2 linked regions of the Arabidopsis thaliana genome follow. The protein of the gene in region 1 interacts with the protein of each later gene in a pairwise test. Each region holds a gene or a part of one and is shown on either strand. Other genes may lie near its edges. The genes, in order: SDR1 and AT3G59740.

Region 1 (4,219 bases):
TTCGTTTTTCTATCGTTTTCTGTTTTTGCTCTTAAATAATTTATTTTTCGATTTCATGAACCACCAGGTTGTGAATAAACCAAATTGGCCAATTCCAGTATTGAATTTTATATCCATTTGATCAGCTTGTTTGGTATCATATGATTTTGGCTCGATAAATTGATAATATCGTTGAACTTCTAAGTTAAGAGTATTTTACTTTGCATACGAGAATCAATTATTTCCACATGGTCACGTCTAAGTGGACATGTTATTATCAAAGCTTCCAACACGATTTCATTATGTAGAAACTAATAATCATATAGGTCTCCAAAACACAAGAACAATCTGTAGACATTACTTTCAAACATCAACACGCTAAATCCAAGTAGATAATGATAGTTTGTGTCCATGATAACTCATCCACTTAAACTTGACCATATGGAGTAATGGTGAAACATGACAAACACTTGAACACAAATGATTCATGTTTAGAGCTTTCATCAATTATAATTTGAATGAATAAGAGTATCATTGGTGATGCAAGAATCACAACTTGGTCAAAACAAATCATACCAACACACAAAAGTTCATACATCAATGAATATCACCAATTTCACGAGTAGCGTCCATTTTTTGTTGACCACTAGTTCACTTGTTTATAGACACTCTCATCGTTATGTGGGTTGATCACTTGTTTATAGACACATATGCTGCAAACAAAATACGTGGTTGTCCATTACGGATTGTCCAAATGTTGTAGTCCAATAGAGAACATCAAGTACTGAATTTCAAACAAACGGGGCAGAGAAGTTATCTAACATTATCATAGAATTATGAACAAGATCACCAAACACTTGGAAGCTTTTAGTAAACCAAACCATTAATCTTTAGTTTTATAGGAGAAATAACCACACAAAAATCAAGGGATGCACTTCACTCCTCCATATCAAACCTAAAGAGATAAATGTGTCTCAATCAAATACTATATATGTGTAAATTGACGCTAATACTCTCCACTAGCAAAATCAAAGTCTGAATAAATCGTTCAAATCAATCTAATTTCATCATAAGAGTTAAGGTTAGTTTATACCTTCAATTCCAAACAATTTCAATTCCACAATCAATCAAATCCACAATCTCACAACAATTTTTCAAATTTCTGCAACATTGAAACTTCCTGCATCTCGTCACATCAAACTTTCCACTATACCGATTCTAGAAACTTCCAATAACATCAAAACCAGACTATGACACCTCAAAAACACGAAGAATCACGAAGCAAGACAAAAGTAAACATGAATGGAGATGAGTAAACTCAAATCACCTTGAGTTTATGAACGACGACGACGTCAGAAGCGCCGGTGATGTTGATCAAGCGGTCGATAACGTTCTAACTCATGTCGCCATAAGAAAGAAGATATGAAGAATCAATTTGAGCGAGAAGCTTGGTTCACAACAATTGATTGATTGTGAAATTTTGTTTTTGGAGTGAGGAAGGAGAAAAGAAAAAAGATTTTGTTTTGTTGTTGTGAAATTACCGTGAACCGATGGATTGAATTGGGGGAGATGGATTGAATTGGAGGGGGGGAAGAGAGAGAGAGATGAATTGTATCGAGAAAGAGAGAGAATTATAATAAGAAGAATTGTTAGCGTAAATGTAGGAGAGATATAGTTAAAGGGCAAATCGAGAATTTTGTCTAACAAAAGTGTCTCATAACTTAAAAATGCCTAAATCGACAAATAACTTTTTAAAAGTGTCTCACAATATAATATTCTCTAAAATAAATTATAATAACTTGTAAGTTTGTAATTAACCATCGCCCAAATATGATAACTATCATCAGTAACGTTTTGTTCCAAACAAATTGCCTTTATTAACGAAAACAAATTGCCTTTATTAACGTTTTGTTCCAAACAAATATAATAACTTTAGTTATCTCAAATATGTGTCAATATAATGCAAGAAAAAGAAAAAAAAACTGTAAATTATGAAAATCGACGTCACAGGTAAATATACTAACATGTTCAACTTTAAATAATGCAAGACTAAAACAACGGCGTCGGATTAGAAGTCTAATCTCCCATGAACATCAATTTCTGAGCTACGTGGCTTCGTTTGCCTCCACATTTCTTCGTATGGTTTCTGTGCATTCACTGCATGCGCATAAGAAAAAAAGAAACGCCAATTATTGATATTCTTTGTCTAAAACCCAGAAATAAAAAGGTTCGAAAATGGCAGAGGAAACTCCAAGGTATGTCTTAAATCTTCTCTTAGTTCTTGATTTAGTCTGTAATCTTAGTGAGTTTGGTTCTGATTTTCTCAGATTGTTTAATGGTTTTTGTAGATATGCTGTAGTTACTGGAGCAAACAGAGGGATTGGATTTGAGATATGCAGACAATTAGCTAGTGAAGGGATTAGAGTTGTTTTGACCTCTAGAGACGAAAACAGAGGACTTGAAGCTGTTGAGACACTGAAGAAAGAGCTTGAGATTTCTGATCAAAGCCTTCTTTTTCATCAGCTTGATGTCGCTGATCCTGCTAGTATCACATCTCTTGCTGAGTTTGTGAAAACCCAATTTGGGAAACTCGATATCTTGGTAGGCATTATTAGTAAACTCTCTTTGATCAGTTTACTCTGAAACAGGTCTTAGACTTTACAGTTTCAAACGTGGTTTTGACTAGAATGATTGCTTTACAGGTCAATAATGCAGGGATTGGTGGTATAATCACTGATGCTGAAGCTTTAAGAGCTGGGGCAGGGAAAGTATGAGATAATCTTTGTGATTATTTTGCAAGCAATTACTTTCATGATATTATTAGTATTGATGATCTTCTGTGAAGTATTTAAATGTTTTCTTGTTATATTCGACATGGCAGGAAGGTTTCAAGTGGGATGAAATCATCACGGAGACTTATGAGTTAACTGAAGAATGCATCAAGATAAACTACTATGGACCAAAGAGAATGTGTGAGGCGTTTATTCCTCTTTTGAAGTTATCTGATTCACCAAGAATCGTCAATGTATCATCCTCCATGGGTCAACTAAAGGTAAGTAAGAAAAGATTAGATATCAAGGAAGCTTGAGAGATGTATTGTTGGCTAAGAAACACTATTTATGTTACAATTGATTATTGTTTACCAGAATGTACTAAACGAATGGGCAAAAGGAATCCTGAGCGACGCAGAGAATCTCACTGAGGAAAGAATCGACCAAGTGATCAACCAACTTCTCAATGATTTCAAAGAAGGTACAGTTAAGGAAAAAAACTGGGCTAAATTTATGTCGGCTTATGTGGTTTCAAAGGCAAGTTTGAATGGTTACACGAGGGTCCTGGCGAAGAAACATCCCGAGTTTCGCGTAAACGCTGTGTGTCCTGGATTTGTTAAGACAGATATGAACTTCAAGACTGGAGTCTTGTCTGTGGAAGAAGGAGCTTCAAGTCCTGTGAGGTTGGCTTTACTTCCGCATCAAGAAACTCCTTCTGGTTGTTTCTTTAGTCGCAAGCAAGTTTCAGAATTCTGAATCTTCTTTTGTGTGAGAATAATAAGCCAAAAATGTAGTAATTTAATGAGAGGATTATCGTTTGAATGTCGAACATATACTCTTAGATAAACAAAAACTTTTATGAGATGTTTTGGTAATTACTCATAAACTTGAATATAATTACTTTACAAACAGAATAATATATAGTTCCATAAGAAGAAACTAAACAAAATTTGAGTCTACTTCATTGCATTAGTTAAGAAATTATCTCTTTAACAATTTATGATTATATATATTTCACAAAAGGAACTCCCGGATATTTCTTAGGATTCATGTTCTTCAGCTGCTGCATCAGAAGTTTCTTCTTCTGTAGGGTTTGCTTCATCTTCTTTGGGTTCGGTTTTGTCTTCCTCAGCCGTCGAGCGACGGTGGTTAGCCGCGGCTTGGAGGACATGATTGTAATTACCTTTCTCAAGGAAAAGCTGGCTGAAGTGGACCTTACAGTAAAGGACGCCATCGAGAGCAGCATATGAAGAATGTGTTAATGGACAACCACTATGTGCACATCTGAAGCAAGTCTTGTGGTAAGATTCTCCTTCCATTGTCATCTTCTCTAGAGGATAAACTGTTTTCTTACAAGCTGCACATTTGTCTTGTGTGCCGCTAAAGAAGGATGATAACCTGTTTGGAGCCTTCGTCTATGCAAATGATCACACCAAGAAATCAGATTAGAAAACAAAAAGAGAAAACAG
Region 2 (4,672 bases), 590 kb from region 1:
TACACGGCATCGACTGGATCCATTGGAGCATTTCATTATATGTTGAGTTCGTACGCTACTCCAAAAGTTGAGAATCCAACATGGGAGTTCATCGTAGTCCCAACCCTTCCTCCATATCCGAAGAAATCGTCTGACAGAACAAAGAAGATTTTAGCGGTCTGCTTAACGCTTGCTGTGTTCGCTGTGTTTGTCGCCTCGGGAATCTGTTTTGTCTTCTATACGAGGCATAAGAAGGTTAAGGAGGTTCTTGAGGAATGGGAGATTCAATATGGACCTCATAGGTTTGCCTATAAGGAGCTTCTCAATGCCACAAAGGATTTCAAGGAGAAACAACTTCTTGGAAAAGGAGGCTTTGGTCAAGTCTTTAAAGGAACGCTCCCGGGTTCCAATGCAGAGATCGCTGTAAAACGGACTTCTCATGATTCAAGACAAGGCATGAGCGAGTTTCTAGCCGAGATATCGACCATTGGTCGTCTCAGGCATCCAAATCTAGTCAGGCTTCTGGGATATTGTAGGCATAAGGAGAATCTCTACTTGGTTTATGACTTTACGCCCAATGGAAGCCTTGACAAGTATCTAGACCGTAATGAGAATCAAGAACGGCTCACTTGGGAACAACGTTTCAAGATCATCAAAGATGTTGCATCTGCTCTACTACACCTGCATCAAGAATGGGTACAAATCATCATTCATAGAGATATCAAACCAGCTAATGTCCTAATCGACCACGAAATGAATGCAAGGATCGGGGATTTCGGATTGGCAAAGCTGTATGATCAGGGACTTGACCCTCAGACATCTAGAGTAGCGGGAACATTTGGTTATATCGCACCTGAGCTCCTAAGAACAGGAAGAGCGACCACAAGCACTGATGTTTATGCCTTTGGGTTGGTAATGCTTGAAGTTGTTTGTGGTAGAAGAATGATTGAGCGACGTGCACCGGAAAATGAAGAAGTTCTTGTGGATTGGATCTTAGAGCTTTGGGAAAGTGGGAAACTTTTCGATGCAGCTGAGGAAAGTATCCGTCAAGAACAAAACAGGGGAGAAATCGAGCTTCTTTTGAAGCTAGGTCTGTTGTGTGCACATCACACTGAACTGATTAGACCGAACATGAGTGCGGTTATGCAGATCTTGAATGGCGTTTCGCAGCTTCCAGATAATCTTCTTGATGTCGTAAGAGCTGAGAACTTGAGAGGAATGCCTGAAACATCAATCGAAGTACTACTTGGTCTTAATCTGTATTCAGTTGGTACAATGACATTAACAAATTCTTTCTTGTCCCATGGACGCTGAAACCGTTAAAGAAGTTAGTTTGAATGAACAGTTACATTCAAGCTTTTGTATCGTCTATTTGATGAATCACTACATTAGGGTTTCTTTATCTTGAATCAGTAAAGCCTTCCGTTTCATCCCCAAGTTCTTATATCTTAAATTTTTAGGACTCAACATATAATATGTTTTGTATTTTCTGCTTTCAAAGTTTTCTTGTTGGATTTGTTTAAGAAACCGAACTTTCAAGAGCAATGGCGTCAAAACAAAATGGCGTGAATTGCCAAATCAGTGACATATAACCAAAAACATTCTAAACTACTTTGATGTTGTTACACTACATAGGATTAATCTCAATATATAATGATCAAACCATGACAAATTAGTGACATATAACTTCACTTTTGCCTTCAGACCAGTAGAGAATTTGTTAGAATCTACACTAAATTAAAAATGTTAAACATACGTTGTTTTTTCTACAAAATGGTTGTGGAAAAATAGCTTTGTTGGATTGCTGCTTTTTAATTATGCTTTTCACACTGTTGTTATTAGTAATTTAATACTTCAAAGTATTAAGATCGTAGAAAAGTTCTGTCTTTTGACGACACGCTCTACCAGTCCCACTATAATTGCTTTACGACTTGATCTAGCTCATGTGCTTAAATACATATGTTTTTTTATTACTAACGAAGAATAACAAAAATAAAAAGAAAAAAAGAACGTTGGGTTCCCATTATTTTCGACCGTAATTCTTATGAGATGATAAATATTACATTAAGATCATAACCTTCCCATAAGCCAAAAAATAACAAACAAGAACATGTCTCATAAAGTCTTACAAATAGTTCTCGTTCTGTTGCTTACTCTGTTTTCATCTACTCACAACTCCAATGGCAACTTCCTCATGGAAGAAGCTGCAGCTGCAGGTTTAAACGGTTATTGCCTTTTAACAAACACCACGAAGCATTCCTACGGTCAAGCTTTCAACAACACTCCCGTTCCCATCAAGAACTCATCTTTCTCATTCAACATCATCTTCGGGATCGTCCCTGAACATAAGCAGCAAGGTTCACACGGTATGGCTTTCGTTTTCTCTCCTACAAGAGGCCTTCCCGGAGCTTCCCCCGATCAATACCTGGGAATCTTTAACGAGACAAACAACGGTAAAGCCTCGAATAACGTTATAGCTATCGAGTTAGATATACGAAAAGACGAAGAGTTTGGAGATATTGATGATAATCATGTTGGGATTAACATTAATGGTTTGACATCTGTTGCCTCTGCTTCTGCTGGTTACTATGATGATGAAGATGGAAACTTCAAAAAGCTTTCTTTGATCAGCACAAAGGTAATGAGGCTTTCCATCGTTTATAGTCACACCGATAAACAGCTCAATGTTACTTTATTACCTGCTGAAATCTCTGTTCCGCCACAAAAATCGCTCTTGTCTTTGAACCGAGATCTCTCGCCCTATTTTTTGGAGGAGACGTACTTGGGTTTCACGGCATCGACCGGGTCGATCGGAGCACTCTATTATGTGATGCAATTTTCCTATGAAGAAGGAGTTATATATCCAGCATGGGACCTTGGCGTAATCCCAACCCTTCCTCCATATCCAAAGAAGTCGTATGATAGAACACGGAGGATTTTAGCGGTCTGCTTAACGTTGGCCGTGTTCACTGCATTAGTCGCTTCCGGAATAGGTTTTGTCTTTTATGTGAGGCATAAGAAGGTTAAGGAGGTTCTTGAAGAATGGGAGATTCAGAATGGACCTCATAGGTTTTCTTATAAGGAGCTTTTCAATGCCACAAAGGGTTTCAAAGAGAAACAACTTCTTGGGAAAGGAGGCTTTGGTCAAGTCTACAAAGGAATGCTTCCGGGTTCCGATGCAGAGATCGCTGTAAAACGGACTTCTCATGATTCAAGACAAGGGATGAGCGAATTTCTAGCCGAGATATCGACCATTGGTCGTCTCAGACATCCAAATCTAGTCAGGCTTTTGGGATATTGTAAGCATAAAGAGAATCTCTACTTAGTTTATGACTTTATGCCTAATGGAAGCCTTGACAGGTGTCTAACCCGTAGCAACACGAATGAAAATCAAGAACGGCTTACTTGGGAACAACGTTTCAAGATCATCAAAGACGTTGCAACTGCTCTACTACACCTGCATCAAGAATGGGTACAAGTCATCGTTCATCGAGATATAAAACCGGCTAATGTTCTACTCGACCACGGCATGAATGCGAGGCTCGGGGATTTCGGATTGGCGAAGCTGTATGATCAGGGATTTGATCCTCAGACATCTAGAGTAGCGGGAACATTAGGTTATATTGCACCTGAGCTCTTAAGAACAGGAAGAGCAACCACAAGCACAGATGTTTACGCCTTTGGGTTGGTTATGCTTGAAGTCGTTTGTGGTAGAAGATTGATTGAGAGACGTGCAGCAGAAAATGAAGCGGTTCTTGTTGATTGGATTTTAGAGCTTTGGGAAAGTGGGAAACTTTTCGATGCAGCTGAGGAAAGTATTCGTCAAGAACAAAACAGAGGAGAAATTGAGCTTGTTTTGAAGCTAGGTCTGTTGTGTGCACATCACACTGAATTGATTAGACCGAACATGAGTGCGGTTTTGCAGATCTTGAATGGCGTTTCGCATCTTCCCAATAATCTTCTTGATGTTGTTAGGGCTGAGAGATTGAGAGGAATTCCTGAGACATCAATGGAAGTACTACTTGGTCTTGATCTGAATTCTTTTGGTACAATGACGTTGACGAATTCTTTTGTGTCCCATGGACGCTGAAACCATAAAAATAAGTTAGTTTTGATCAAACATTTATATTCCATCGGGAGCTTCTGTATCCGTCTATTTGATAAATGAGTACATGTTTCTGTATCTTTGAATCATGAATGCCTTCCAATTCATCCCTAAATTTCTAGGGTTTACTTTTAGGGTTATAATATGTTTGTTTCATTCTTGCTTTCAAAGTAATCTTGTTCGAATTTGTTTATAAAACCAAATTTTCAAGAGCAATGACTTATAACTTAATTAACTTTTTTTTTTCTGTAGACCAATACAAAATCTGTTAAACTTTACATTAAAACATGTCAAAAAACTTATTTTTTTTACATTTTATGGTCAACACGTTGGTTGTTAAACTTACATTGTTTATCCATTTCTACGCTCCGTAATGTTCGACGGATTAGGTTGTAGAAAAGATAAGAGAAGCTTTTTTGACCTTTTTATTTCTTTGGTAGAGATCTGAGAAGAAAAGTTTTTTTGATTATTGCTTATTATGCTTTCCACTATAATCGCTATTTAATCTTAGCAAGAATTAGAAGATTTGTTTTCTTATAATTGATTTACGACTTTATCTTGGCCATGCACAGTGCGTAATTACTAAAT

Evidence for each region.
Region 2: the proteins of SDR1 (region 1) and AT3G59740 interact in a protein complementation assay, tested with the Arabidopsis thaliana proteins (one large-scale study listed by BioGRID).

What each region holds. Positions count from the first base shown.
Region 1 is NC_003074.8:22,660,811-22,665,029, forward strand, and holds SDR1 (NAD(P)-binding Rossmann-fold superfamily protein), read left to right. Parts: upstream 1-2,066; 5' UTR 2,067-2,214; coding exon 2,215-2,580; intron 2,581-2,681; coding exon 2,682-2,747; intron 2,748-2,860; coding exon 2,861-3,031; intron 3,032-3,125; coding exon 3,126-3,506; downstream 3,507-4,219. Other genes in the region: PLIM2c (GATA type zinc finger transcription factor family protein), read right to left, coding at 3,791-4,165.
Region 2 is NC_003074.8:22,066,476-22,071,147, reverse strand, and holds AT3G59740 (Concanavalin A-like lectin protein kinase family protein), read left to right. Parts: upstream 1-2,089; coding exon 2,090-4,069; 3' UTR 4,070-4,161; downstream 4,162-4,672. Other genes in the region: AT3G59750 (Concanavalin A-like lectin protein kinase family protein), read left to right, coding at 1-1,293.